Linked DNA regions of Callithrix jacchus. The protein of the gene in region 6 binds, or shares a complex with, the protein of the main gene of each other region. Links are inferred from orthologs where the notes say so. Each region holds a gene or a part of one and is shown on either strand. Other genes may lie near its edges. The genes, in order: MORF4L2, PFDN2, BRD8, ANP32E, KAT5, RUVBL2 and PFDN6.

The links.
Region 1: RUVBL2 (region 6) and MORF4L2 share a complex: the UniProt entries of both Homo sapiens proteins name them as parts of the nuA4 histone acetyltransferase complex. The link is inferred for Callithrix jacchus from reciprocal best matches to the Homo sapiens genes RUVBL2 and MORF4L2.
Region 2: RUVBL2 (region 6) and PFDN2 share a complex: the UniProt entries of both Homo sapiens proteins name them as parts of the PAQosome complex. The link is inferred for Callithrix jacchus from reciprocal best matches to the Homo sapiens genes RUVBL2 and PFDN2.
Region 3: RUVBL2 (region 6) and BRD8 share a complex: the UniProt entries of both Homo sapiens proteins name them as parts of the nuA4-related complex. The link is inferred for Callithrix jacchus from reciprocal best matches to the Homo sapiens genes RUVBL2 and BRD8.
Region 4: RUVBL2 (region 6) and ANP32E share a complex: the UniProt entries of both Homo sapiens proteins name them as parts of the SWR1-like complex. The link is inferred for Callithrix jacchus from reciprocal best matches to the Homo sapiens genes RUVBL2 and ANP32E.
Region 5: RUVBL2 (region 6) and KAT5 share a complex: the UniProt entries of both Homo sapiens proteins name them as parts of the SWR1-like complex. The link is inferred for Callithrix jacchus from reciprocal best matches to the Homo sapiens genes RUVBL2 and KAT5.
Region 7: RUVBL2 (region 6) and PFDN6 share a complex: the UniProt entries of both Homo sapiens proteins name them as parts of the PAQosome complex. The link is inferred for Callithrix jacchus from reciprocal best matches to the Homo sapiens genes RUVBL2 and PFDN6.

The regions. Positions count from the first base shown.
Region 1 is NC_133524.1:99,730,116-99,734,107, forward strand, and holds the end of MORF4L2 (mortality factor 4-like protein 2), read right to left. Parts: intron 3,684-3,992; 5' UTR 3,582-3,683; intron 2,178-3,581; 5' UTR 2,154-2,177; coding exon 1,287-2,153; 3' UTR 627-1,286; downstream 1-626. UniProt on the Homo sapiens protein: Component of the NuA4 histone acetyltransferase complex which is involved in transcriptional activation of select genes principally by acetylation of nucleosomal histone H4 and H2A.
Region 2 is NC_133519.1:20,975,875-20,980,542, forward strand, and holds the start of PFDN2 (prefoldin subunit 2), read right to left. Parts: upstream 2,923-4,668; 5' UTR 2,897-2,922; coding exon 2,822-2,896; intron 1-2,821. Other genes in the region: NIT1 (deaminated glutathione amidase), read left to right, coding at 3,057-3,058, 3,654-3,749, 3,984-4,238, 4,345-4,448, 4,639-4,668. UniProt on the Homo sapiens protein: Binds specifically to cytosolic chaperonin (c-CPN) and transfers target proteins to it. Binds to nascent polypeptide chain and promotes folding in an environment in which there are many competing pathways for nonnative proteins.
Region 3 is NC_133503.1:36,573,202-36,577,361, forward strand, and holds part of BRD8 (bromodomain-containing protein 8), read right to left. Parts: intron 3,963-4,160; coding exon 3,818-3,962; intron 2,774-3,817; coding exon 2,564-2,773; intron 2,159-2,563; coding exon 1,878-2,158; intron 1,242-1,877; coding exon 789-1,241; intron 448-788; coding exon 354-447; intron 173-353; coding exon 126-172; intron 1-125. UniProt on the Homo sapiens protein: May act as a coactivator during transcriptional activation by hormone-activated nuclear receptors (NR). Isoform 2 stimulates transcriptional activation by AR/DHTR, ESR1/NR3A1, RXRA/NR2B1 and THRB/ERBA2.
Region 4 is NC_133519.1:10,158,476-10,163,192, forward strand, and holds the start of ANP32E (acidic leucine-rich nuclear phosphoprotein 32 family member E), read right to left. Parts: upstream 3,278-4,717; 5' UTR 2,952-3,277; coding exon 2,898-2,951; intron 1-2,897. UniProt on the Homo sapiens protein: Histone chaperone that specifically mediates the genome-wide removal of histone H2A.Z/H2AZ1 from the nucleosome: removes H2A.Z/H2AZ1 from its normal sites of deposition, especially from enhancer and insulator regions.
Region 5 is NC_133511.1:122,807,367-122,810,710, reverse strand, and holds part of KAT5 (histone acetyltransferase KAT5), read right to left. Parts: intron 3,249-3,344; coding exon 3,000-3,248; intron 2,923-2,999; coding exon 2,833-2,922; intron 887-2,832; coding exon 746-886; intron 665-745; coding exon 571-664; intron 1-570. UniProt on the Homo sapiens protein: Catalytic subunit of the NuA4 histone acetyltransferase complex, a multiprotein complex involved in transcriptional activation of select genes principally by acetylation of nucleosomal histones H2A and H4.
Region 6 is NC_133523.1:42,836,904-42,841,063, forward strand, and holds part of RUVBL2 (ruvB-like 2), read left to right. Parts: intron 1-3,359; 5' UTR 3,360-3,474; coding exon 3,475-3,621; intron 3,622-4,160. UniProt on the Homo sapiens protein: Possesses single-stranded DNA-stimulated ATPase and ATP-dependent DNA helicase (5' to 3') activity; hexamerization is thought to be critical for ATP hydrolysis and adjacent subunits in the ring-like structure contribute to the ATPase activity.
Region 7 is NC_133505.1:41,531,059-41,534,628, reverse strand, and holds PFDN6 (prefoldin subunit 6), read right to left. Parts: upstream 2,079-3,570; 5' UTR 2,043-2,078; exon of another isoform or gene 2,035-2,042; intron 1,895-2,034; 5' UTR 1,808-1,894; coding exon 1,744-1,807; intron 1,497-1,743; coding exon 1,426-1,496; intron 1,345-1,425; coding exon 1,220-1,344; intron 1,008-1,219; coding exon 878-1,007; 3' UTR 795-877; downstream 1-794. Other genes in the region: WDR46 (WD repeat-containing protein 46), read left to right, coding at 2,496-2,564, 2,662-2,871, 2,969-3,049, 3,193-3,305, 3,425-3,512. UniProt on the Homo sapiens protein: Binds specifically to cytosolic chaperonin (c-CPN) and transfers target proteins to it. Binds to nascent polypeptide chain and promotes folding in an environment in which there are many competing pathways for nonnative proteins.

The DNA.
Region 1 (3,992 bases), on a different chromosome or scaffold from region 6:
CTGCTTCCATTCCTCTTAGCCTCCTTTGCAGAGGGGTAGTAACACTATGTTATGGCCTGAATTGTGCACCCACCAAATTCATGTTGAAGTCCTAATTCCCAATACCTCAGAATGTGACTGTAGTTGGAAACAGGGTCTTTACAGAGATAACTAAATTAAATAAGGTCATTGGGGTGGGTTCTAATCTGATGACTAGTTTTCTTTAAGAGATTAGGACACAGATACAGAGGGAAAAAAGCCATGTGATGACAAGGTGGATGGCCGTGTAGAAGCCAAAGAGAGGCCTCAAAAAAATCAACTGGCAAAACCTTGATCTGACTTCCAACATCCAGAACTGTGAGAAAATATTAAGCCAATCAGTCTGTGCTTTGTTATGGCAGCCCAAGGAATACTTTGTTATGGCAGCCCACATCACAACCTTACCCCTCTGGTGACAACTCAGGGAAAAAAAAATCCTTAACTTCTCTCAAATCATCCATTTCGGAGTCCCATTTATTTATTGCTGGGACCCTGACTGATCCAAGAGAATTATATGATTCTTATTTATATTTGTTCTGTTTTCTAAAATTTCTACAATAACCACAAAATACCAGCCTCAGTAACATGAAAGGCACACTGCAAATTACTTGCTTTGAAATTTAGAAACAAATTTTATTTAAGATCTGAAATACAATTCCTAAAATATCAACTTTTCCAGAAAACCGTGGCTACACAATAATGCATTGCCTCTATCATGTTAGAACGTGCATTAGACTCAAATACAAAAACCATGAAACAAATCACCATCCTTCAACAATTTGAGCAAAGATAGAATGCCTAAGAACAACATAGATGGACTTGCAGAGGATGGGCTGTTTTACTTCAAGCACCATAAAAAAAAAAAAGAGCACAAATGCATGGGTTTTCAGGTATATACATTAAGTTGAACCTTTGGCACTAGGAATCAGGGCGTTTTTTCACGTAGCATTAACACATATTAGAAAATTGTGTAGTGTCAAAGGGATAGGAACCACCAGCATTCAAGCAATGTTGTCAACTAGGCAATAAAATGTTCTACTGAATGTTTCTTCTTTGTTCTAATTACTGCATACACTGGTAGCAACTTTGAAACGAGAAAAGGAGCTTACACTCCTTTTATTTTCTGTTTAAAACAGAACAGAAAACAAACTGAAACATAAGCCCTGTGATACATTAACGATTTTAAAGAACATCAACTTTACAAGAAAAAGACTAAACAGAAAGTGTTTACAGATACAGGACAAAAATGGTGAGCTGTCTGTAGACGCTCACAGGGCTTTGCGGTGGTACTCAGCAGAAGCCACTTTGTAATCACTGGCAGTAAAGAGAGATGCAGAATTCTTTGCCAGATATTTTAGGAAATCATGCAGATAGCCCAACAATAATGCAAGGCTTTTCTCATCAAGGGGTGTATAGGCCAACATTGCTCCAATTCTTACAAATAATCTCAGTAGGTGTGGTGCTCCATAAACCTGGGACATTGGAGCATCAGGGTGAGCCAAAAGGATTTCAGCATACTGGGGCCTCTCAAATTTGTAGAGCAGCTGAGTGCCCAACATCACATTGAAATATTCTTTTATTCCTGCCACAACTTCATTAACCGCATATTCCTTATTATCAACATTTCCCTGCGATTTCTTGCAATTTGCATACTCCTCCAGAATTGCATCTACATTTTTCTTAGCAGGGAGTTGGAACAGCTGCTTCTGCCTGGTAACTAAGTCCCAGTCCTCAACGAGCCATGGTTTTAATTCTTCAGGAATCTTCACTTTAACTTCCATTCTATTCTTAAATGCCTCCTCGCTTTCAACAGTGGGGTCAGCCCGGGCCCTTTTCTTCCGAGGGGGCTGAGGTGCTTCACTGGTACTGCCACCGTCTCCGTTTCCAGGAGTCTTCTGTTTGTTCTTTCTGGTCTTCCTCACGGATCCTGAAGGGGGGTTCTCTGCAGAGCGACCCCCCCATCTTCCTGGGAGAGCTGGTTCCAGATTTTTCTGCTGGGGACCAGCTGTCTTCTTTCCTGAGGAGGCCCCTCTCATCTTACTTCTCTGCATGTTGCTTCTAGTTGGTTTTTTAAAGTTGTCTTCTTCTGCAGATTGTTGTCCACGAGGTTGAGAACCCTGCTTTCTGGAACTCATTCAACCCTGTTTTTATTCCAACCACTGTAATATATAAAATATTTTACTTGGTTGTTTTCTATGGCAACCTTTATGCTTCGTAAAGGCCCATCAGAGCATAACACATTCTAACTCTCTTAAAATCTGGATTTCAAATCCTATTTTAGGACCCTTCGTAAGTGATTTTTTTTAACCTCCTTTCCTTCTCTTCTCTCTGTTCCTCACTACCAGCCACTACTCTCATCTCACCCAAATACTCATCATATTTACTCATAAATTACTTTCTTGATGCCACTCAAAAGATAGGAAAGCAATTTTAAAGAAAGAAGAAATTAAGTGAAAAAGAAAGTATAAAAGGCAGTGGAGCTGAAATTTAAGACTTTTGAACAGGAGAAATGACAATGTGGAATAGGGAAGTTTATATTTAGTTGCCTAGGGGCAAAATGAGTAACAGTAAAGGTTCTTGTATAAGTCCAGAAAGGCCTGAACTAGGATGATGGCAGAGTCAAGAGAAACTGATGAATACAGCAAGCAACCACGAAGAACAGAGTAACCAAAGGAGGGAGAAATCTGCATTTTCAAGCCTGGGTAATCAATGAATTTAATAAAAGCACTAAATTTAGGGCTTAGTTTGGAATCAGAAATAAAATGACAGAACATAGGTAATTCATCCATTCATTAATTTATTCAGTTTGTCATTATACATTACTGCATATCTGCTTTGGGACAAGTACTATGGTAGGTGCTAGAGATCCAAATATCTAAAGTGACAATTATAAAACAGTAAGGTTAGTATAATGATAGTTATAGGCACAAAATAGTTTGGGAGCAGACAGAAGAAATGGTACATGACCATCAGTGATTGTTGAAGGTTAAAAAAAAAGATTGGTGAGGGAGGAGTCAGTGATGACTCCCAGGTATAGGTGATTAGGTCATTAATATTATCACCAAATTATAATACTACTCCATTTACAGGAGGAGGAAATGGATATTGCGTGTGAGGTGTACAGTTAAACATAAAATTTTAAAGCTCAGTTTAGTCCAGCTAACTGGGTACTCCCCACAAAGAAATTAAAGCTTGTGTGAGAAGTAAAAGCCAGAAATGGAGATCTGAGAGTAAACATCATATAGCTGGTAGTGGACACTACGAGGGCCAAGAAAATCAGGGAAAAAGAATTTCAAGTACGGAATTCTGGAAAACCTAAGGACTAAACGCATTTAAGGGATGGGCAGAGAGAGAGACCACAAACAGAACAAAAATGTTAAGAGTAGCCATAGGAGAATTAGAAGAATGTTATTTTGGATGCCAAAGAAGGTAAGAATTCCAAGAAGAAAAAGGTATAATCTACAGTGCAAAGTGCAGCAGGGAGTGCTAGTAAGATAAGGATGCAAAAAATAGACTTCCATTATTCTTAGGGTGTGACAGAGGAAACAATTCCTTTGACTTACACAATCTTCCTTCTTTCCCTTCCAAGAACTCCTAGTGATTTCCCAGATGAAATCTTATAAATCTTCTGGGATGGTCTAGAAGGGTGAAGTGGGAGATACAACCTAGAAAGAAAAGCAGGTATCTGCAATGAAGATGAACTTTTGTGAAATCATCTAAGAAAAAAATGAGTAATTTATAAATATGTGGTTTATATGTTTACATTTGAACAATTAAATGAATCATATACCACAATTGTAAATCAGAGAAAATACTTGAGTTCTGCTGTCAGACAGACCTTTACTTCAATTAAGCCCTATCATTTATGTGTTGAGACCTCAGGCAAGACATGTAGGCTCTGTTAGCCTCTTTTTGTCATTTGTAAAATGTGGCGAGTTACCTATAGCCTTCACAGGCTCCTATGAGAATTTCAT
Region 2 (4,668 bases), on a different chromosome or scaffold from region 6:
ATACTCATGACTGTATTTAGAGTATTAGGCAAGACAATACATGCAAAGTGTTTTGCACAGTGATTCTACAGATTGGGGAGGCCAAGATGTAACATAGGGGAAGTCAAATATAAATAGTAAATGGTAGAAATGAAATTCAAACTTAGTGCATAAGAATGCTCTGCCATCCTACTATACCACAGCTTCCCTTTTCCAGCCCCTGCCCACAGTCCTGCAACTTCATGATTAGTTAGGGGTCTCTCCTCTAGCTGCCATAATGAAGGGATTGTGTAGCACATTATAAATCTTTATTGTTTGATTCATCTTTTCTCAAATGAGTCTGTGAGTAAAGCGATTTGAAGACAAAGTCTATTTCATTTACAATAGTCTCTCATTATCCAGAGTTATCCAATGTCTGAAAATGGAAAATTCCAGAAATAATTCTTAAGGTTGTTTGTTTTTTTGTTTTGAGACAGAGTCTCACTCTGTTGCCCAGGCTGGAGTGCAACGGTGCAATCCTGGCTAACTGCAACCTCCATCTCCTGGGTTCAAGTGATTCTCTCTGCCTCAGCCTCTTGAGAAGCTAGGATTACAGGTGCCCAACACCAGGACTGGCTAATTTTCGTATTTTTAGTGGAGACGGGTTTTCCAAGTTGGCCAGGATGGTCTTGAACTCCTGACCTCAGGTGATCCACCTACCCTGGCCTCCCAAAGTGCTGGGATTACAGGCCTGAGCCATGGCACCTGGCCAACAATTCATAAGTTTTAACTTTCATGCTGTTAGGAAAATAGCGTGATGAAATCTCGAGCCATCCCGCTCAGGATGTGAATCATCCCTTTGCCCAGACTATCCATGCTATATATGCTACCTGCCCTTTAGTCAACTTCTCCTGCTCAATATCGTCATGGCTCAATGATGTGAGATCACCTAAAGCAGATGATTCTCCTTCTGACTTATCATCAGTAGTGGCCTAAGGCTACATCACAATGCTGTCATTCACCTCATCATCTCATCATCTCATCATCTCATCATCTCATCTCATCTCATCTCATCTCATCTCATCTCATCTCATCTCATCTCATCTCATCAGGAAGGCACTTTCTCATCTCACATCATCACAAGACGGGTGAGTACAGTACAATAAAATATTCTGAAAGAGAGAGACCATATTCATGTAATCTTTATTATAGTATATTGTTAGAACTGTTCTATTTTATTAACTACTGCACCTATTATATAAATTAGACTTTATCATAGGTATGTGAAAAAACATAGGGTTCAATATTACCCCAGGTTTCAGGCATCTACTGGGGTGCTGGAACATGTCCCCCTTGGATAAGGGGGAACTACTGTATCTGTATTGCTGTACCCAGCAGAGTGCCTGACACATGGTATCCTTAAAAAGTATCACAGGGGGCTGGGCAAGGTGACTCACATCTGCAGTCCCAACACTTTGGGAGACCAAGGCAGGTGGATCACCTGAGGCCAGGAGTTCAAGAGCATCCCAAGCAACAAAGTGGAACTCCCCCCATCTCTACCAAAAAAAATTTTTTTTAATTAGCCACTCAAAATGTTTTATGCCTATAGTCCCAGCTACTCAGGAAGCTGAGTCAGGAGGATGGCTTCATCACCCAGGGATTTCAAGGCTGCAGAGAACTATCATCACGCCACTGCACTCAGCCTGGGCAACCTGCCTTTAATCCCAGCAACTCGGGAGGCTAAGGCAGGAGAATTGCTTGAATCAGGGAGGTGGAGGCTGCATTGAACCGAGATCACCCAACTGTACTCCGCCCTGGACGACAGAGCAAGACTCTGTCTCAAAAAATAAAAATCTTTATGCTGATACCTCTGTCTGTATTAACTGTTCAACAAAACCTGATGAAGAGCCGGGCGCGGTGGCTCACGCCTATAACCCCAGCACTTTGGGAGGCCAAAGCAGGCGAATGACAAGGTCAGGAGTTCGAGACCAGCCTGGACAATAAGGTGCAACCCCGTCTCTACTAAAAATACAAAACTAGCCGGACGCGATGGCCCCTGCCTCGGGAGGCTGAGGCAGAAGAATCGCTTGAACCCGGGAGGCGGAGTTTGCAGTAAGCCGAGATCGTGCCACTGCACTCCAGCCTGGGCAACAGAGCAACACTCTGTCTCAAAAAAAATAGCTGTTTTTTCATTTTCACTGGGCAGATTTCCTCCAACTCCTATTTTTCCACTTGGCAAAACACGGTTCTCAAGACACAAGGGCTTTGTGATTAACTTATTAAACGTTTCCCGAAGCTAGGCACTGGGGAAAATGCAAACTGGGATTAGAAAGGGGTTTCTAGTCTCTAAAGAAATTCGATCTAGTACCGAACTCTCGAATCCATATAGTATGGAACACTAGGCTGTTCGAGTATGTGAGTCACGTGGCTCTGCAGCGTGACGGCGATTGTCAAAGTGAGTTCAGGATCACGTAACAGACTACACAACCAGCCCGTTAACTAATCCTATGGGGAGTTACTTTAGAGCTGTCTTGCCCAGACATAACCTGTTTGGAGGTGCTGAGGAGATATGGAGAAAGCAGCGAACCATCTCTCCTCAGACCTGTGCATCTTCCCAGACCCTGCAGGTCAGGGCTTTCCCCTCCCCCAGGCTCACCCAACACCCCAGGGAGGCGTGGCTCTCACCTGCCCAACCGTCTACCTCTCCCAAGGGGCTCGACTAGCTTCTCCGGGGACCCTTCCCTCTCTGGGTGCAACGCACATGTAGTACTGGAGTAAAGGCCTACACAAGCCACAGGCTCCCCCTTCTCGCAAATACTCCAGACCCAGATGGGGACCCTCCATCTCGCTCTCCACTCCTCACCTGTTCTGCGGACACCGCCCCCTTCCCCGCGCCGCTAACGCTGCTCTTGCTGGAGCGACCGCTGTTCTCCGCCATCTTCGTCGCCTGCTGGGTTTCCGGCCGGCGCAGCTCAGCACCCCCCCCACCTTGCGTCACGTCCGGCCTGCGAGTTACCGCCCACTCGCCCCGGCGCCTCTGGCTCCAGGCCGCCCTCCGGATCGGCTCGAATCCTGCGAATGTTTTTGGCAGTATTTTCATGTAGGACCTACTCCCTATCCCGTCGGCCGCAGGGAATCCCACTTGCGGTGCTTTAACCTGTGCGACAGAGATGCTGCCCCTGGGAGAGGCGGGGAGGGACGGGCCAACTGGAGCGGGGGGTGGAGAGCGGGGCGCGGCGTGGGGCCTGGGTTCCTTTGCCCCTTGCCCACCTTGGAGGGGTGGGAGTCGAGTTAGGGTGAACTTCCTCCTGAGAGATTCTGGTGAAAGGGGAAATACGCTTTGAGTCAGTAAATCTGTGCAAGTGCACAGTCAAGAAGAGAGTCTTGGGAAAACCAAGGGTAGTTCCCGGAGATGACTTTGGACTGCGGAAACGTTTGTCAGAGGAAAAGGGCTTCAGTTTAATGTGAGATCATTGAAAATTGATCTGTTCAGGAGGCGAGCAGAGCCCCTTCCTCCATCTTTCCACCGTCCCTTAGCCCATAAGTACTTACAGAAGTAAAAAATGTTTTGAAGACCAGAAGGTTTTTGCTGGCAGGGCCCTGATTCGGGCTCACAGTATAAAGAGAAGTCAGAGAATCCAAGAAATTTATTGCTCAAGGAAGGGATTGGTGCCCTCATTTCTCACCTTCTTCAGGCTGGGCTTCCTCACCAGGCCTCTTCACCGACTCCTGTCCTTTCTGTGTCCTGGACTCCGGATACCTCGACTCTCTGTACTTTGTGCTCAGCCCAGGTAACACGTTTTGTTGTGTCCTCAGTGCCTGGCACTTAGATGCTCAGTTTGTTAAATGGATAATGGGAGACACAGGACTGTCAATTATCCACATTTGATTAGTAAGCCCTACTAGCCCTGGGCCTGTAAGAGCAGGATCAAAAGGAAGTCCAGCTTTCCTCCCTTGCACCCTTTAGCATTAATTTTGTTTCCTCATGCACTGAAATCTGAGAATCCTGTCTATGCTGTTCACAGGCCCAGAGCCATGGCTATCTCCTCTTCCTCCTGCAAACTGCCCCTCGTGGCTGTGTGCCAGGTAACATCAACGCCAGACAAGCAACAGAACTTTAAAACATGTGCTGAGCTGGTTCGAGAGGCTGCCAGACTGGGTGCTTGCCTGGCTTTCCTGCCTGAAGCATTTGACTTCATTGCACGGGACCCTGCAGAGACGCTACACCTGTCTGAACCACTGGGTGGGAAACTTTTGGAAGAATACACCCAGCTTGCCAGGTATCAGGGAATGGGGGAGGGAGAGGTAAAATCTTTGTTGGGCAGTGCCCCTAGATTGCCAAATATGAGGGTACAGCCTTGAGAAGTCAGTGTCCCCTCCCCCCAGGGAATGTGGACTCTGGCTGTCCTTGGGTGGTTTCCATGAGCGTGGCCAAGACTGGGAGCAGACTCAGAAAATCTACAACTGTCATGTGCTGCTGAACAGCAAAGGTGAGACTTTATAACCCTTTAGCCTGCCTCTTCCACGTAAACTTAGATTCTCCAGAATTGTTTCTCAACTCTATTTCCTTGACCCTAGGATTTAAGGGTGTTACTTCTGTTCCTAGCCTATAAACTACTCCTTGGGAAGAGTAAGCAAGGTTTCTGGAACACGGGCACTGAATATTCCTTCTTACTCTAGGGGCAGTAGTGGCCACTTACAGGAAGACAC
Region 3 (4,160 bases), on a different chromosome or scaffold from region 6:
CATGCAACTCCGTACCAGTCTCTTATCAGAGAATAACGATGTGACTTTACTGAAATTCATTAAAAAGTAGTGCTATAGGGAAATCTAATCACATGGCAAGAGGAATAAAGAAAAGTCTGAAATACCTTTATCTGGCTTCCAAAAATAGTCCCTGATTCTTCTTTCAATGAGTCTGCAGAGGAGAGAAAGACTACCTGAAGATTTTTCCACCTTAGCCTTCCTATGGACCGTAATCCCCTGTAGCTCTCCTTTCCATGCTGACCTATTCTACTTCCTCTACTTGCCCACAACCCACAATCCCTCAGAAGCCAAAGCAAGTGATTTCAAGCTAGTTTAAAGAGGGCTATATTTACCTGAGATTTCAAACTTGTGCTGAGTCTCTGCCTCTAAAGGATCTTCAATGGGATTTGAGACATGTGACGGAGACAACATGCTTTCAGGGGATGCCTGAAAACCAAAAAAGAAAAAAATACCCTAAGTACTGGTAAATCATTATAGCTCACACAACTTTATTCTTCAATGATAATGAGACTATAGAAGAAATTCTAAGTCCTACTCATGTAATTTGACGCCAATGGTAACCTTAACAGGAATAAGACAAGTATTTATAGCACTAATCACAGCCTATGGGCTTTGGACACATCAAACATGTAGAACTCTGGAATGTAACAGGAAAACAAAAAGCCTAAGCTGTCACTTCTTACCTAAGGTATAACCCTCCATAAGCTGTCACTTCTTACCTACAGTATAACCCTCCATCTTCCCAGCCCCGGATCTTTATTAAATACCTCTGTCTTCACAGTTGTAAGTGGGGTCTCATCGCCTTTCCCAATGGCAACATCTGCTTCAATAATCTCTCCAACTGCAGTACTTCCTGGTTCCTCATCTAAGTCCTGACTCCTGAGGTCTGGTGGCTCCATACTTGTGGCTGGAACAACTCCAGCTACTATTTCGGCCCCTGAAATGCCTGGCTCTGGTTCTGCAGGTTCCACCTTGATCTCTGCACTGGGCTCCCTGATGTCCACCAGTTCATGTATTCCTTTGTTTTCCGTTTCCTCAAAGTCCATTCTCTCTTGCTTGACCGTCATTTCCGGTGCAGGGAGAGGTACTGGCTTGTCCCTCTCCTGCTGGATAGGATGCTCCCAGGGGCCAGGCAGGGACTGAGGATCATCATTCTCTTCACAAAATGAGAGTGCTGCTTCCACTGCTGCCACATCCAGCACTTCAGGATGATCATCTACCTGTCCCACAATACACAAGCCTATTGAAGTCACAGAAAGAAGCCCAAGTCCCTCAGTTTTGTTAGCACCAAATGTGATAGCTTGAATTTGTAGCTTTCTCTCAATTTTCTCCAATATAGTGGAGGCAAACAACGAATAGGCACGTGTCCTGTGCAAATCAGTGACATGGATATGCCTGGGGAGATGACTAGTATGTTAGCATCAAGGGGCTACAAAGATGGAGATGGGCAGAAGTAGGAGAGTTGTTTAAGTAATTCTTACTATAAGTAGCAAAGTGGCCGAGCATGGTGGCTCACGCCTGTAATCTCAGCACTTTGGGAGGCCAGGAGCTCGAGACCAGCCTGGCTAACACGGTGAAACCCCGTCTCTACTAAGAATTCAAAAAATTAGTAAGACATGGTGGCATGCGCCTGTAGTCCCAGCTACTCAGGAGGCTGAGGCACAAGAATTACTTGAGCCTGGGAGGCAGAGGTTACTGTGAGCCAAGATCATGCCACTGCACTTGAGCCTAGATGACAGAGCAAGACTCTGTCTCTAAAAAAAAAAAAAAAAAAGCAGCAGTAAAGCTAAGCTGAGAAGAGAAGCCTACATAAGACCCATGAGATTATTTTATTTGGGGCTTTGCTGAATAGTTACCTTGTCCTCAATGATGGCAATGATGTCTCCAACAGTCTCAAAATCCAGCTCTTCACCTGTGTAAGACACAGCAATATCCATCTTCTCAGCCAGATCTAATTCTTCCTTCCCATCTATGCTGGGAGCCTTTGATCCTCCAGGGGCCTCTGCTACCCCTGATCGAAAACATTCTTCTTTGATAGAATTGATGATCATAGATATTTCACTGCTGTCCATGGAAACAGTCACAGTATGTGGATCCCCCACAGCCTCCATGGGAACACAGTTATCGGGTTGACTCACTAACAGAAAGAGAAAACATCTCAGAAGCTTACTGGGTACAAAGTGACCACCTTGAGATCACATCAGCACTACAGACAGATGTTAAATATCTAAACACTTAAGGTCAGAAAGAGTCATTATACATGTGCCTATGTTTTCTTCTCCTCAGTTTTATTTATAAGGGTGAGAACATATTTTCAAGCCTGCTCATATCTGTATACTTAGCCTCTTCCCTGCAACACATAAATGCCCACCCATGTCTTCTCACATCTATTTCTAAGGATATTTATTTCTAAGGATAAAGATGGCACATGTCTATGTAGAACAGAGAAGAAACATCTGAATTGGAGCTGATGCTCTTGGTCATTATTCTCTAATGAAGCTCAAAATCAAATTTTAGACCTTGTGGCTGCTCAGGGACGCACCTGGAGCTACACTTTCAGTAGTGGAGACAGCCGGAGCAGAGGATGGTGCTGGCAGCGCAGGCATCATGACAATGGTAGCCTGGGACACAGACTCTACAGGGGGTGGCACAAGTTTAACTGGAGGCTCACTGGCAACAGTGGTGAAGGAAGCAAGAGGTGTGGTGAACTGTGTAGGACCAGCTTCTAAAAGCCGGGAAAGAGTGGGAGCACCTAACATATAAAGAGGTACACAAAATGAAGTAAGAAGAAAGCATATAAACAAGAAGCAATAGCTACTCAAAGACTCAGCTAAGAAATTCTTATGGTCTCAAAGGATGAGAGCAACTGCTGCACTGAGTAAGTTCATCATCTATATCCTTACTCTCTCTAACCTTACTTAAGATCTTCCTCCAAGTTAGGAATGAACCAAAGCACTAGAACACACAACATATATAAAAAAATGGGTGGTAAGGCCAGGTGCAGTGGCTCACACCTCTGATCCCAGCTTCCCAGGAAGCTGAGGCAGGAGAATTGACTGAACCCAGGACATGGAGTTTGCAGTGAGCTCAGATTGTGCCACCACACTCCAGCTTGGGCAACTGAGCGAGGCTCTGTATAAAAAAAAAAAAGGGTGGTAATTTTTCCTCAGAGGAAAATTAATCACCAAGAAATAAAAAACTGGTATTAATAAATATGTCACTTCTGCTGAAGTTCAGCATATTGTAAATCACCAAGTTCAACACCATTCAAATACCAATAAAGTTTATAGAATATTTTATGGAGCTTTTTGTCTTTCCCTGCTTTACACTTTTTTCTTCATTTAATTCTTATCACCTCTTCATCAAATATATACATTACAATTAATAAAAAAAGTAAACTGAGACTCAAAAGCTAAGTTACCTATACAAAGTCACAAAACCAATGTGTGGCAGGTCTGAGATTCAAGCCCAGTTCTCTGGTTCCAAATCTTATTCCACTATTCTAGAATCTCAGGTATCTCTAGTACCTTGATTTTGCAAGCCACAAGAAAGCAGCTCAGTATTACTCTTAATATCTATGCTGTGGTCAATCAGGGCTATCAATACCTTGAAGACAGACAGCTTTATAATCAGGAGCACTACATTGTTTACCAGGTAAAGTAGCTTCAAAAACAGTTAGACAAAGTTGGGCTTTAAACTAGGACTAACAATTACTTAGTAAAAAACACTGAAATTGAGGTCAGTCAATGTCAAGTTCAACACCTCTGAAGTAGATAAAGGAAAAGTGGTAACTTACCTGAGGCAGCAGGGGAGGCTGCAACAGTATTGGGTGTTTGCTGTATCTCCCCACCATGTATCATGGGAAGGACCCCGCCTACCTCCAGGAGGACACCTGTACTGTTCAGGTGGCCAGAAGCCACAGCCATTTCATTCTCATTGACCTACCAGGGAAGAACAGAGGTGAAGGCTACACTCAAGTTTTCCTTTACTACCATTTCCCAACAAAGCTCCAGAAGTTGATCAAACTTTATGAAAACTAACAGTTAACATCCACAGAGAATAATTTAATACCCAAGGGAAACTCTAAACTATAATGTTCAAAACTTATTTGACAAGAGTTCTCTGGAGTAGAGAACCAA
Region 4 (4,717 bases), on a different chromosome or scaffold from region 6:
TACTAAAAATACAAAAATCGGCTGGGCTTGATGGCAGGCACCTGTAATCCCAGCTATTCAGGAGGCTGAGGCAGGAGAATCACTTGAACCTGGGCGGCAGAGGTTGCAGTGAGTCGAGGTCATGCCACTGCACTCCAACTTTGGTGACGATTAAGACTCTGTCTCACCAAAAAAAAAAAAAAAGAAGAAGAAGAATAAAGAAGAAGAAACTGTTTAATCACTTTTTTTTTTTTTGAGACGGAGTTTCACTGGTTACCCAAGCTGGAGGGCAATGGCACGATCTCGGCTCATTGCAACCTCCGCCTCCTGAGTTCAAGCAATTATCCTGCCTCAGCCTCCCGAGTAGCTGGGACTGCAGGCGCGCACCACCATGCCCAGCTAATTTTTATGTTTTTAGTGGAGATGGGGTTTTACCTTGTTGACCAGGATGGTCTCGATCTCTTGACCTCGTGATCTACCCGCCTCGGCCTCCCAAACTGCTGGGATTACAGGCTTGAGCCACCACACCCAGCCTGTTTAATCACTTCTTTAGTTTAAACCCCCTTCCCTTTGGTTGATAAATGCCATCATAACTCAAAAGAAACCTCCTTACCCTTCATGAAGAAATGTTAGAAAACTTCTGGGAACAGCCCAGAGGGTGTCATTTCTTCTCACATCCAGGCCAAACAGTATCACCCAGAACAATACATTCTTAACAAAATGTTACTTCTCCCTACCACTGTGGTATAATAGCATTTCTGTGCACTTCTCCCCATTCCTGAGGAAGTGGGGCTGAATTCCCTATTAGGTAAGAGTTGTAGTAACAAACTTCCTGGTGTAGGCCTGAATGGCCTTAATCTTTAACGGAAAGGCCGAAGACTGTAGTTCTCTACACCCAAGGCGAAAACTTGTTTGAGGTATCTGTGAGCTAAAATTTAGCAACAAGGAATCCCACCTTCTCTATTTGAATATGACTCTGAGAAAATTATTTCTGTGGTCAGAGAGAGCATCTTGAGCTCCGTTCTGGAGAGGAGGAATGGCCCAGAGGTCAAGAATGACATGCCTAGGCCCATAGTTTGTTTGTGACAGGGCTGTGTACTGGTTCAGTGTTCTGACTCCACTCCGTTTAGCTGAGGGGTGGGGGCTGCTACATTTGGTGTCAGAAAACCAGTTCCTCCACTTGTGTAACTCATTTCACCGCCCTGAGACTCCCATCTGCTAATTTGGAATCTACAACACAATCTACCTTACAAGTAAGGAGGAAAGTAAATAACAAACGGGAAAAGTGCTTTGTAAACTGTCTATACAAATATAAGAGACCGTTATTACAACAGAGCGGAAGGAGCTGAAAAACGGCAACGTCCTGAACACCCCAAAACTGGCAAAGAAATTACTACAATCACTAAGTGAAAGAATCCTGGCGGGGCGGGGGGTGTCCAATTTTCCAACCCAAGCCACCAAAAAGTATTCTAAACGTGTGCTTCTGAGAGACAGCTTTTAAAGTTTGAGTTTTTTTCCTGAAGCCTCTAATAATAAGCTCTAGAAACAAGCTCTCTCCGGGATGACCCTGATATCCCGTATCCCCTCCCTGGCACCTGCCAATTTCAGGAAAACAGGGACCTAAAAATAAAAAAATTTAAAAAGTGTGAGTTCCCACTCCGCACGCCGGACGCGAAAGCTCAGAGCTTGCTCATCTTCTCTGCGGGTCTGCACAGACACCACCCCAGTTATATGCTATCGATCGGTCGGTCCAGCTCTACACACCTCCCTCATATTCCAATTCTAGAGCTTATTTCAGCAAGACTGCTGCTTTCCTCCGCGAGCCTCCCCGCTGGCCACCCGCCCCGCTCTCGCGACCTGCCGCTCCGGCTGACGGGAAACCCCACGGGGGGCGGAGACTCCCCAGGGGAAAAAGGGGTCGCCTCCCAGCTCGCGCTGCCGTCCCGCGTTCGCCCCGGGTAGGTGAGGCCCAGGAGGCAACCGCGAAAACGAGGCGGAAACGCCTCCCGCCCGACCCCAGAAAAGTTGACCGCGACCCCGCCTCGCGTGGCCCCTCCCAACCCCGTCTCTTTAACTAAGGCGACAGCAGTGAGAGCGCATCATTTAGTTTCGCCGAACCCATCTTTGAAGCACGAAACTACTACGTCCCTTTATGCTGAGTTTGGTGAAACCGTCTCCAGGGATCAGAGTTGCGGCCACACGACGTGCCAAATGTCGTTGCACCGCGCGGGGAAGAAGCGGATTACACCTCCCGTCCCCTCCCCACCTCCGGTCACTGCGACGAGTCCCCAAACTCGCCCGCGGTCGGAGAACCTGCCGCTGACCCAGATTCCGCCGGGTGGCGGGCGGTGCGCGCGGCTTCCCGGAGGAGTGGGCGCCTCCGGAGCAGACCGCGCGCGGACCCTGCGAGCGACCCCAGCCCGCCACCGGCGCGACGTCGGACGCCCAGGGCCTCGAGGCCGGGGGAGCCCACCCCCAGAAAAGATGAGTTGGCCGCACTGCAGAAAAGTTGGACTAACTTCTCAGGCGCCGATGGCTGCGGCAGGGGCCGAGTGGGACTGGGGGTTGCGCCCACGCCGCCGGCCCCGGGGAGGAGGAACGCCGGGAGCCGAGCGGCGGAGCGCCCCCACCAGCCCGCTTCCCGCCCCCACGAGGCCCGGACGCCCGACTCGATGAAAGCCGAAGGAGCTAAGCTCCCATGCACACACAAAAACGCCCCTAGAAACTTCAACCCTTCGCCATTTTAAGTAGAAGATTTTAATGATTTAAAACTTAAAATTAAACAATTCTCCAACCCTAGCCCCGGGGGGTGGGGGCTAACTTATTACTCCATCCCCGCACATCCACCGGGATCCCCAGAAACCCGATCCTCAGAATACAGGACTGATGGGGAAGGGGTGGGGGCTGAGTCATCTCACCTCCTCCGGGGCTCTGTTCCTTAACTCCAGGTTAATCTTCTTCTTCATCTCCATGTCCTCCTCTTGCTCTTCAGCTACTACTCTCCTTCCTTTCCCTTTCCTGCCTTTCCCACCACCCCCAACCCACAATTTTTAGGATTCAGAAATGAATGAAAAGGAACGCAAATATAAACGCCCACTACCACCAGATAGGTGTGAGGGAGAAAGAAGAGAATAGCAAATGGAGTCCAAGAGTTGGGACTCTAACTAAGCTGCCCCCACCTCCTTGTCCACACACTAGCGCGCGCACACACACGCACGCACGCGCGCACACACATACACACACACACACATACGCACACACCCGCAGTTCCTTCTCCTTCAATGGCTGCTCAGAGACTGAGCCTCCATGACACGGCACCGCCAACCCCCTGGCCTACACTCCACCCACCTCCCAAACGTATTGGTTGATTCTTCAGCGTCACATGATTCCATTGGGCAATGTAAACGTCTATCAGTCTTCAGGGAGGACCTGGACCAGAAACTCCGTATCTATTGGCTACGATCAAGCGCGCAGTTAATTTCGATAGGTCCAGGAGGGTGTACGTCCCGGAGAAATGATTTTGAATCCCAGTAGCCCCCCTACTTTTCTTTATGTAGTTGGCGCGCTTTCCCTAGGCACTCGGACGGTTTTGTTGCCTGTTGGAGTTGGTTTTTGGTTTTTTATTTCTTATTCTGTTGTTAGTGTTAAAGAGGGAGAAAGCATCCTTCCGTGCCCAAGTTGCGATACTGATAATTCACCACATGGCACGCACCGGCTGTTGGCCGTTTTAAAAGCACAGACTCTGCTTTGCAGCCAAGGTGTACAGCAACGCGCGCATCACATTAAAAAGATGACTTCGTGGCATTGTCCTGCTGGGGTCAGGCTTTTCACAGAGCCTGACCTTCCGTGATGCAGAGCCAGAGCCGAGATTTTAAAGATGGTAGTTTAACACCGTAAAAGACAACAATTTTGAAAGCAGCTGGGTGAAGTATGTACGTTAATAATATTTAAATAAAACGATCCTGGAGGAATTGTTACTGAGCTAATTGTTGCTGTAATAAACACTAAGACCTTGGCGGAAAAAACAACGCTGGCCTAATGAAAATCAGACATTAATTAGCATAGAAATGGCACAGCAATGCCTGTCTAATTTCCCTTTGGTTGGTTTCCATGGAAATCTGTAGGTAAAGTAGTCTTTTAAAAGTGTTTATCCTTCTCTGCCTTTTGGCTAAGATCAAGTGTAGAATCTGTTCTTATCAGTTTACTATCTGATGTATCTTCTCTCCGAGTCCAATATATTATATGGATTTTTGAAGCAGGAAGACGGACTAGGAGCTTGCTTGTCCACTTCATGCATGGACCTGGTATTACAGTACAGAACCCCTCAGGGGATTCAAATTTGGTGTTCAAGACACAAGAAGAAAAGTTTATCTATGTGGGATGGGATATGAAAGATTAAAATAAGAATTATCTTTTGGCCGGGCATGGTGGCTCACATCTATAATCCCAGCACTTTGGCAGGCCGAGGCGGGTGGATCACCTGAAGTCAGGAGTTCGAGACCAGTCTGACTAACAGGGTGAAACCCCATCTCTACTAAAAATACAAACTATTAGCCGGGCATGTTGACGTGCACCTGTAATCCCAGCTACTCCAGACGCTGAGGCAGGAGAATGGCTTGAGCCTGGGAGGCAGAGGTTGCGGTGAGCCAAGATCCAGCCATTGCACTCCAGCCTGGTCAACAAGGGCTAAACTCCATCTCAAATAAATAAAGAAAATGTAAATGCTTTAAAGGAAAAC
Region 5 (3,344 bases), on a different chromosome or scaffold from region 6:
CAGAATGGGGGGTGACAGAGAGTAAGAGGCTTGGAAGGAGAAGGGGGCCTCAGGGTTGGGAAGGGCAATGAAGAGCCCATGTGTGATGAAGGTCAGAGTCCCTCTGGCTTTAAGAGATCGACCTTCCTGAATACAAGGAGCAAGCCATGCTTACATCTATTTGTTAACAGCATTTTGTACAACTGCCTGCCAGGCTCAGGGGAAAACTGGGGACATTAACCACTGGTCCTTGCCCAAGGACCTGTATCATGGCACACGCTACAAGATACATGAGTACCAGCGGCTCACTAACCTCCTGCCCATGGCCCCAGACAGGAGCATGTAAGTCAACTGAGTGGCACTTAAACCTTAGCCAAGGAGCAAACTGTGGGGCTGAGAACCTATCCCAGATGAGCAGGGCAGTTGGCCTGAATGGAGGGAACCCCAGTAGAGTGCCACCGTTATTCCTGGCTGGCTCCGCTAGAGACTGGGCTGCACAACCAGGGCTGGGAATCACAGTAGCCCGGCACATCTGCCTGTGAGGCACCGATGACGGGTGCACTTCCCCCTGGCCGCAGCACACATACTCACTGAACTCGATCAGCAGCTTGCCGTAACCCCGGCGCTGGTAGGGAGGCAGCGTTAGGATGCAGGCCACATTGTAGTCCTCTGTTGACTCCTTCTCCTGAAAAAGGGAGACAGGTGAGTGTGACGGAAGGGACCTGGCTCAGGACAGGGCACAGCAACAGCCTGGGTCGGCACTGACCTTGGAGAAGTAGCCCACAATGTGGAAGCCCTTGCAGTCATACTCTGTCATGACGTAGAAGAGGAAAGGGTCTGTGTCATAGTACAATGTCTTATGGTCAAGGAAACATTTGGCCAAAAGACACAGGTTCTGGGAATAACTCTGCAAGAGAAAAGGTTTGTCACCACTCTGGGTACCCGGCCTTGAGCCTGGCCAGTGGTTCAGGGTCGACCAGAAGCTTCACTGTTTGTGCTGAACCCCAGGCCGACAGGTGATGACTGTTCCTTCCTGGCAGGGCCTGACCCATTCCACCAGCTCGCAGCTTAGGCAGGGCTGCTCCTCAGTGTTGGAAAGCTTGTGCACCAGAGGTGTGATGGTGCCTGGATGCCTCCCTGCTGAGTCCGACAATTTTCCCTGCCTTGCTCTGCACACCTCTATCTAAGCTTGGCCCGGAGACTCCACTGCCCCTTAACATTTTTGTTTTGTTTGTTTGAGACAGAGTCTCACTCTGTCACCCAGGCTGGAGGACAGTGGTGTAATCTCAGCTCATTGCAACCTCCACCTCCGGGTTCAAGCGATTCTCCTGCCTCGGCCTCCATTGTAGCTGGGACTGCAGGCAAGCGCCATCATGCCTGGCTAATTTTTGTATTTTTAGTAGAGACGGGGTTTCACCATGTTGTCAAGATGGTGTCAATCTCGACCTCATGAACTGCTCGCCTTGGCCTCCCAAAGTGCTGGACAGCAGTCAACAAACTAATGTGTCCAAAGTCAGACTCCAACCACAGCTTCTGAGAGCTCTCCCTATCTGACAATCTTGGGAGTCTAGCTGCTAAAACAACCTAACATTCTACATCCATAGTCACACCTCCTGGGAACTGATCTGCAATTCTACGACAGTTAAAGAATTCTGGAATTTAACTGCCTTAGGGGTTACCCCAGCAAAATTATGAATAATGCTGCTTTATTTCTGCACAGAACTTCTGCATTTCAGAGACTGTGGGTTGTTTTTTTTTTTTTTTTTTTTTGAGACACCCAGTGGTGTTATCATGGCTCACTGCAGCCTTGACTTCCCAGGTGATTCTCCCAACTCAGCCTCCTGATTGCCTGGAACTACAGATGTGCACCATCACACTAGGCTCTTTTATTATTTATTTATTTTTGAGAGACAGTCTTGCTCTGTCGCCAGACTGGAGTGCAGTGCTGCATTCTTGACTCACTGCAACCTCTGACTCCCTGGTTCAAGCGATTCGCCTGCTTCAGCCTCCCGAGTAGCTGGGATTACAAGCACATGCCACCAGGCTAATTTTGTATTTTTAGTAGAGACAGGGTTTCACCATGTTGGCCAGGATGGTCTCAATCTCCTGACCTTGTGATCCACTCGCCTTGTCCTCCCAAAGTGCTGGGATTCCAGGGTGATCCACTGTACCCAGCCAATTTTTTAAAAATTTTTAGCAGAGATGGGATTTCTCTATGTTGCCCAGGCTGGTCTTGAAATTCTGGGCTCAAGTGATTGGCCCACCTCGGCCTCCCAAAGTGCTGGGGTTACAGGTATGACTCACTGTGCCCTGCCAAAAATTGCTGCTGGGTACTGCCACTTGGATGCCCACGTCCACATTAATAATTACAGAATGGTGGTTAACACAGCATCTTCTTCACCTGAGCTCTGTCCCTTATAAAAGCCTTCCCTCATCCTTCCTTCTCTGCCTCTCAGCCACATGACCTTGCCTCTCACAAAGACCATCTCTGTGCATCCATGCCCACTCCTCAGAATGCCACTGCAAGAAATTCCTTTGTCTTCCACGTCACGGCTCAAAGTTAACCTCTGTGAAGCTCTGCTGACCACCTCCTTTGGGTCCTGCTAACCTACTCTCTGTTTCATGACATGACACTGGAATCGAAGACGTTGTTGGTATGTCTGTCTCCCCGTGGACTGTAAGCTGTCAGAGAACAGAGACTGTCTCATTCCTGGCTACCAGCACCTGCCAGACAGCAGGAACTCAATAAAAATGGGCCGAACCCATCTGCTGGCTCAACTGGTCAGTTTTCCTGAGCAGGAAGAAACTGTCATTTGACTTACCCCACAGCCCCACTGCCTCTCAGGCACTAACCTTGTTCTTGCGTCCATCAATCTCAAAGAAGGAGATGGTGCCTTTGCGGTAAATCTCGTTGCCTGGAGGATGTCGGAGGTCACACTTGGTCTGGGGAAGAGAGGAGGATCAGGGACGAGGGCAAGGTGGACAGTGCTGGGAAGGCAGCCTCCCTGTACCCCTCATACCAAGTGACGCTGAAGACACTTGAGGCTACGGCCGTACTTGAGGCAGAACTCGCACAGGTAGAGGACAGGCAATGTAGTGAGCTCCTGTGGGTACGGGGAGAAGTACCACGGCTTGAGGCGGTGCCGGCCCAGCTCGATACACTCAATGTTCTTCATCCGGGTGACGATGTCGTCGTGGCTCCGGTCAGACACCAGGCTGCCAGTCATGCGTGGTGCCGATGGTATTCCATCTGAGCTGTCCTGGGAGTCCTGCCCAGGGCGAGTAGAAGACACCAGGTTAGACGAGACAGCTCAGCAGGACACCACAGCTCACACCCCCTCAACAGGTTTCCTTCAAGCCTAACA
Region 6 (4,160 bases):
GCCTGTAGTTCCAACTGCTCGGGAGGCTGAGGTGGGAGGATTGCTTGAGCCTGGAAGGTGGAGGCCACGGCAGTCCAGCCTGGGTGGCAGAGTGAGACCTTGTCTCAAAAAAAAAAAACTCACGGGAAGGAAAGTTGGGGATAGGTGACTTAGCATGCTGGCTTCTTAAGCTTCCTTTTCCTTGTTAGAAATTACAAAGTATTAGCCAGGCGTGGTGGCTCACACCTGTAAACCCAGCACTTTGGGAGGTTGAGGCGAGAGGATCATGAGGTCAGGAGTTCGAGATCAGCCTGGTCAACATAGTGAAACCCTGAGCCTAAAAATAAATGAATAAAATAAAATAAAAAAGAAATTATGAACTATTCTGAACTATTTTCTGACAAGAAAATAATGTAACAGACATGCAAAGATCCACCATCCAGCAGTGTTTTGTTTTGCTTTTATTCAAGACAGAGCTTCACTCTGTCTCCCAAGCTGGAGTGCAGTGGTGTGATCTCGGCTCACTGCAACCTCCACCTCCCAGGTTCCAATGATCCTCCTGCCTCAGCCTCCCAGTAGCTGGGATTACAGGTGTGTGCCACCACTCCCAGCTGATTTATTTTTTATTTTTATTTATTTATGTTTTGTGAGACAGAGTCTTGCTCTTGCCCAGGCTGAAGTGTAGTGGTGTGATCTCAGCTCACTACAACCTCAGCCTCCCAGGTTTAAGCAATTCTCCTGCCTCAGCCTCCCAAGTAGCTGGGATTACAGGTGCCTGCCACCATACCCAGGTAATTTTTTTGTGTTTTTAGTATAGATGGGGTTTCACCATATTGGCCAGGCTGGTATTGAACTGCTGACCTCGTGATTTGCTTGCCTTTGTAGGGCTAAGGGCCCCACAGGGTCGTGAGGTGTCCCTTAATGCTGTGCTGAGGCACAGGATCCAAGAAAGAGACAGGACACGGAAGTGCAAAGAAAGCACAGCTGGGCTGGGAGTGGTGGCACACCACCTGTAAGCAGAGACAGGTGAGGCCTGAATGTCCAGAAGCGTCTGTATTTATTGAGTATAGGTTAGGGGGCAGGGTAGTGAGTGAAGTCATCTTTAAGGATAGTGATAGGGTCGTGAGCAATAAACAAGGGGTCCACCCCTATTAGGTCATTGAGGCAAGGAGGCAGGCCTTGTGCAGTAAGGGGTCCACCCCCGTTAGGTCACCGAGTCATGGAGGTGGGCCGTGCGCAGCGAAGAGGGTGCAGTGTGCAATATCTCTTATCTATGAGAGTGTCTGTATGAGGATGCTTTAAGTAACACAGCAGTGACAAAGCTGTCAGGGTCTACCGCCACCTGCTGGCAGCTTCCAGTGAGTTCTATAGGAGGATGCTTTTGAGCCAGCACCATAGCAAGAGCTGATAAGTTCACAGTCACCAAGGTGGATTGCCCGTCTGAGGGCAGCCTTCCACAAGAACTGGAGCAAGGTCCTACAACTCCTTTATCAGGAGGAGTGGCTCTCGCCCCAAGCCTGCCATACAGCAGGTATCTTTACGATACTGAACGCTGCTGCCTGGGCCATGGATTCTTGTCCTGGCATAACTGTTTGTCCCTTAAATCATGCTCTGAACTGTGTCTGCTCCAGACATTCCTCTGATTATAAGCTGCTTATTCCTTAATTAATGCTCTGTACTGTGTCCACTCTAGGCATTCCTCTATGAACTAAGGTATAATCATATACATATAGGGAAATAACTGAGTGGTAAGATATTCTTTAGGCACGCATTCTATGAACTAATGTATGATTATATATAAAGGATTGTGCGAAAGGGAATAACTGAGCAGTAACACTGTAGACTGAGATATTCTTCAGGCACTAATTGTGCCAGGATTCTGCTTAGCTCCCCTCCCTCGGCGCCTATGTAGAGGGTTACCCACAGCCTTGACCTCCCGGAGTGCTGGGATTACAGGCATGAGCCACTGCGCCTGGCCAATTTTTGTGTTTTTTGTATTTTTAGTAGAGATGGGATTCACTATGTTGGCCAGGCTGGTCTCGAACCCCTGACTTCAAGTGATCTGCCCGCCTCAGCATCCCAAAGTGCTGGTATTACAGGCAGGAGCCACTATGCCCAGCCTCTTGTTTTTTTCTTAATAGCTTTATTGAGATACAATGCACATACTATATAATTCACCCATTTAAAATGTACAGCTCAGCATTTTGTAGTATATTCACAGAGTTGTGCAGCCATTGTCACAATTTTAGATCATTGCCTTCACCCCAAAAAGAAACCCCATACCTCCTACCTGTCACCTCTAATCCTCCCATACCCTCCTGTCTTCAGTTCTAGGCAGCCCTGGTCTTTCTCTGTATATGGATTTGCCTGTTGTGGCTACTTCGTGTAGATGGACTCATACAGTATGTGTCTTTCACGTGTGGGCTTCTTTCCTGTAGCTGTTATTTGTGTCCAATGGTACCGAGTGTTAAACACATTGAATAAGGAGTCTTCCAAGCAGGCTTTGTGTGGGTGTGGGCGACAAGGCCATCTTATTTCTCACTTGGGTGCAAGCAGGCCGAATCCGAGAAAGGACAAGGGTGGGAATTGATTTGATAGGTTGGGGCAATTTTTTGCGGGGGGTGGGGATGTTGCAGAGTAAGATCAGTTAAGTGGCGGGGGGTAGGGGCAAGGCGTATACATTACGATAAGTTCAGTTACAATGGCAGGTGGTAAGGCAGAAGAGTAGTTAAGATGGCAGGGTGGGGTGAGAGGCTTGTCCTGGGGAAGCTCCGCTGGGTGATTGGGGCTGGTGGGGGACGACAGTCAGCCGAGGCAGGACTTCAGACTTTCTGGGTCCAGGCTTGCACATGGAGACCTGACGTTCCTGTCCTTTTATATAGACAGAGAAAGAGAGAAGAGGGGGTGATGACAGGTTTCGGGGGGTGAGGGCTAAGTGTCTCAAGGCTACTTTGTGCGTGATGGGACCGCACGGACACCTAAAAATTTTTTTTTTAGTGGAGGAGACAGAGTAGAAGTGGGAACAGGACAGGGACGAAAATAGGAAAGGTCTGGACACGACGTTTGGCCTCACACATGCTTCAGCTGCTGGGGAACTTTGAGGCCCCGCGCGGTATTGTGGGGTTGTCCAGAGCAGCAGGTGCCGATTTGTGATCGCCTGGATGCGGTTTCGGATGAATTGGGAGGGTAAGCGGAAGACACAGGGTCCGAACAGATGGGTGTTAAAGAAGTAGGGATCGGAGGGAGCCGGGACCTCCAGTTAGAGAATGGCCAGGCAGGTTCGGCGGAGGTGTTTGCCTGGTCAGCAAACTTCTGAGTTTTTTGATATGATCATACACTAGGCCAGATTGCTTTAAGTAAAAACAACATTCTTCGTTTAGAAACATAGAGTCCTCCTTTTTCTGCGGTAAGTCGAGGCCACGATGGTTTTGGAGATCAGCTGCAGCCAGAGTCAATTTGAGCCTGAAGGGCAGACAACGTATTAGCTAATTGGTAATGTGGGCAGAGAAATCAGCAGACAGACTGCGGAATGCTGTGACGGAGGAGGTGAGCCCTGCCGTGCCAGTTCCAAGGCCTACCGAGGAGGCTGCAAGCCCTGTTCCCACGAGGAATGGAGTTAGCTGCATAGCTCTTTCTCGTCGGGTAGGTGTCATGAGGGGGACAGGCAGGTGTTCGTTACCAGTGGCAAATTGGATCTTAGGAATAAGGAAGACTAAGGGACAGGTGCCTGTCCAGTTAGTGGCAAACACATACAGTTAGAGGAGCCACCTGGGAAGAAAAGGCCTGGAGCGACGCAGAATTGAAAACACAGGGTGAGGCCGGGCGCGGTGGCTCACGCCTGTAATCCCAGCACTTTGGGAGGCCAAGGTGGGTGGATCATGAGGTCAAGAGATCGAGACCATCCTGGTCAACATGGTGAAACCCCCTCTCTACTAAAAATACAAAAAATTAGCTGGGCACAATGGCGCATGCCTGTAATTCCAGCTACTCAGGAGGCTGAGGCAGGAGAATTGCCTGAACCCAGAAGGTGGAGATTGTGGTGAGCCGAGATCGCGCCATTGCACTCCAGCCTGGGTAACAAGAGCCAAACTCCATCTCAAAAAAAAAAGAAAAGAAAACGCAGGGCGAATAGGTGAGAGGGAGTATTGAAAGGGGAATCAGATGCCCAAATTCCTAAAGCT
Region 7 (3,570 bases), on a different chromosome or scaffold from region 6:
TGAAGGGCCAAGCAAAGGCCTCAAGGCTCTGAGCCCCAGGGCAGACGGGGATGGCAAAAAGTAGGTCCTTGCAGGAGTTCCTTTTCCCACTCGGGTTTCTATCACTGTGACAACACTAAGATAATAAACCAAAACACTACCTGAATTCTACTCCCCTGTACTTGCAGTGTGTTTGAACTGGCTGCTATGAGTGGGGTGGGAACTGGCTGAAGGTAGTTGCCATTGAGCAGGAAGGGGCACAGTGTTTTCTATCCCCATGAACGGAGCAAAAAGTGAGTTACTTGGTGAACAGTTTCCTCAAACAATGCTGCAAATGTGTATAAAACAATTTTTGGACAAAGAAATGGCTGAACAACCTTATGGACAACATATAAACTTAGGAGGACTTATAACACCATAAAGCATTACATGCTAGGCTTTTAAGTCAGTTTAAGCTATATTCAAGCAAATTCTAGGAAGACAGGCTGAAAAGTACTAATAGAGATGTCAGGACTGCTGGCAAGGAGGGTAATCACATTTCACCTTGGGGCCTCATGTTAGAGAACTGTATTCTTCAATTAAACTGACATTCCTCACATTCACAAATGTAAATGCCCTTCTAAAAGAATCATGCCAACCAAGATGAGGGAGAGTTAAAAGAAGGTTTGAGGACATTTGGGATTTCACTTTCAAGAAAGAAAACACTGTGCCACAGAGAGATTTCAAGTGCAAGAGTTTGGACCTGAGGGAGTAATATAGGTGGTGTGTGTTAAGGTGGAAGGGGCTGTGGAGATATGCCTGATCAGGAAACAGAGGCAGGTGTTTTTGCATTTTATTAGCTACAGTATAGATCCCAGAGCTGCCTCATTCCCGCCCCTCCCCTTCCCCCACCATGGGGTCAGGCCTTGCCAGGAGCCCCTGCCTTTGCTGCCTGGGCCCGCTGGAACTCCTGCTGCAGCTGAGCAAGGGTCTCTCTCTGTTGCTCTGACTGCCGCTCAAGATCCCGGAGCTGGGATTCGTATCGCTTACTGAGGAAAGACAAGCAGAAAAGGAGAAATTAGTGGGACTTACTATGGAGGGTGCTAAACTCAAGAAAGAGACTTCTCTTTCTTGAGATCTAGGGAAGGGTGCAGAAGGGGTGTTGGAAGGGGTCTGGAGGAACTGGACTAGGGGCGACTATGGAGAGCTGTTCTGCAATGGTTCCTCAACTCCTCTACTCCAATGGTTCAGTTAGACTCACATTTCAGCTGTGATATAGTCCAGCCTCTTCCCCACTGTGGCCCGAGCCTCTCCCAGCTCCTGTTTGACCAGCACCGGACCCAGAAGTTTAAAGACCACGTTGGACCCATCCAACAGGGCCAGTTCCTGATGGAGGGATGGGACATATGTAATCAGAACCATGGCCAGTACAGGCCCCTCCTCGCCGCACAAATCCCAGTCCCTCACCTCTTTCACGATGTTATTTTCTGTTAGTTGTGCTTCAAGTTTCTGCCTCCCCGACATGGATTTACTCAAGTCTGGGGATGAGAGGAAAGGCAAGATTAGAAACATCAAATGTGCCACCAATCCCCACAATCCTAGTCAGGAGGAAATGGATCTGAGGAAGTAAACAAGGATGGGGGCAGCGGGTCAGTGAATAGGGACGAGTACTGACGCGGGAAAGTCTCCGCACGCGACGGCCCAGATGGGGCAACAGACCTTATCCTAGTATGGTTTTGGGTTGTGAGTGCATCGGGCGAGGCCACACTGACCCTGCTCCCTTACCCTTCTGTAGCTGTTGATATTTCTCCACTTCTCCTTGCAGCTTCTTTTGAATCAGCTCCGCCATGGCGGGGATGAAAGCTTAAGGGGAGCGAGAGAAGGGCGCTGGATCTTACTCTCTGGAAGGTACCTGAGTTCCCCTTTCTGATCTGGCCTGCGGAAATGATGGCACTCTTAAGAGGCAGCCCTGAGGGGGACCGCAAACTCCCCACGTCCCGGATATCGACTCCACCCTGTTCCCAGGAGATGATGGGCGAAACGCGAAACCCCGAACCCCTCAACCGAAATCCTAACCTACTCACGTTCTCCCTTTAGTAGTAATAAACCCGGAAGTAAACAAAGAATGCTGGGAAAAGACTGTGTCGGGAAGTTTCTTTCTGATCCTTGATGGGAAGTGTAGTTCTGACATGTTTAGTGAGTGGCGTTCTGCTAAAAAGACTAGACTCGGACATTTTTAGGCAAGACGGGGAAACTAATCCAGAAAAAGAAATCGCACCGCTACTTAGTCCCTGGTCCTGGACCTGCCCTTTTTTTTTTAAAGTCTCTCTTGTATAAGCTGTCGCTCGCGATAAGGTGCCAAGAGCTGTTCCGCCTCTCTAAAGAGAGCGTGCCCTCACTCAAGATGGCGTTAAGAGAGCTTCAGATTTGGTACGCTGCTGATTGGATGACGGACAGAGGGCTTCCGGAAGTTTTCAAGGCGACTGTAGGGCAGCTGAGAGGAGTTTTGCACGTGGATCGCCGTACGGGTGGGCGAGATGGAGACGGCCCCCAAGCCGGGCAGGGATGTCCCGCCCAAGAAGGACAAACTGCAGACCAAGAAAAAGGTAGAGGCCTCTCTGGGTGGGAAAATAAGTTTTTAGTTGCGGAGTCGGGGGGCGTGGCGTAGGTGCGGAGTTATTAGGGCTACTGATCTGCCCGTAGAAACCTCGGCGATACTGGGAGGAAGAGACTGTTCCGACCGCAGCCGGAGCCTCTCCAGGGCCTCCTCCTAACAAGAAGAATCGGGAGCTCCGTCCCCAGGGAGCAAAAAGTACTCACATCTTAAAGAAGTCTCGGATCTCTAAGAAGCCTCAGGTCCAGAAGAAACCCCGAGAATGGAAGAATTCGGAGTCCCAGCGGAGCTTGTCCGGGGTGAGCGTGGGACCTAATGGGTGGCGAGGCAGGTCGAGAGTGAAGGGGTTGGGGTCAATTTAAGGCTGCCTGCTAATTGCGTCCTTCCTTCCCCTAGGCCCAGGACCCATTCCCAGGCCCCGCCCCCGTCCCTGTGGAGGTGGTCCAGAAGTTCTGTCGCATTGACAAATCCCGAAAGGTGAGGTCCAGCTGGAGAGTTGGGAAGTGTTGGAGGCCGGGAGTGTCTGAGTGAGTTGGATGGAGGCTGAGCCAGGTAGCCCTCCTGTGACCCCACTTACTCTGTGGTTCTTCTACCACTCCTGTCTACCAACAATGTTAAAGCTACCACAGTCTAAAGCCAAAGCTCGAAGCCGACTTGAGGTGGCGGAAGCTGAGGAAGAGGAAACAAGTATCAAAGCTGCTCGTTCTGAGCTGCTGCTTGCTGAGGAACCTGGGTGAGTGGGCCCTAATCTGGGCCACCCCATTCCCTGCTTTATAGGACTCTCTCGTTTTTATGTTGGTACACTTGTTTCATATTGGGAAACTTTACTGCCATCCTAACCCTTGCTTTCAGGTTTCTGGAAGGGGAGGATGGGGAAGACACAGCAAAAATATGCCAGGCTGACATTGTGGAGGCTGTGGACATTGCAAGTGCAGCCAAGGTGAGCGAGGAGTTAAAGGAGCCAAAGGGTTGATGGGTGGTGCAGGACAAGAGAAGAA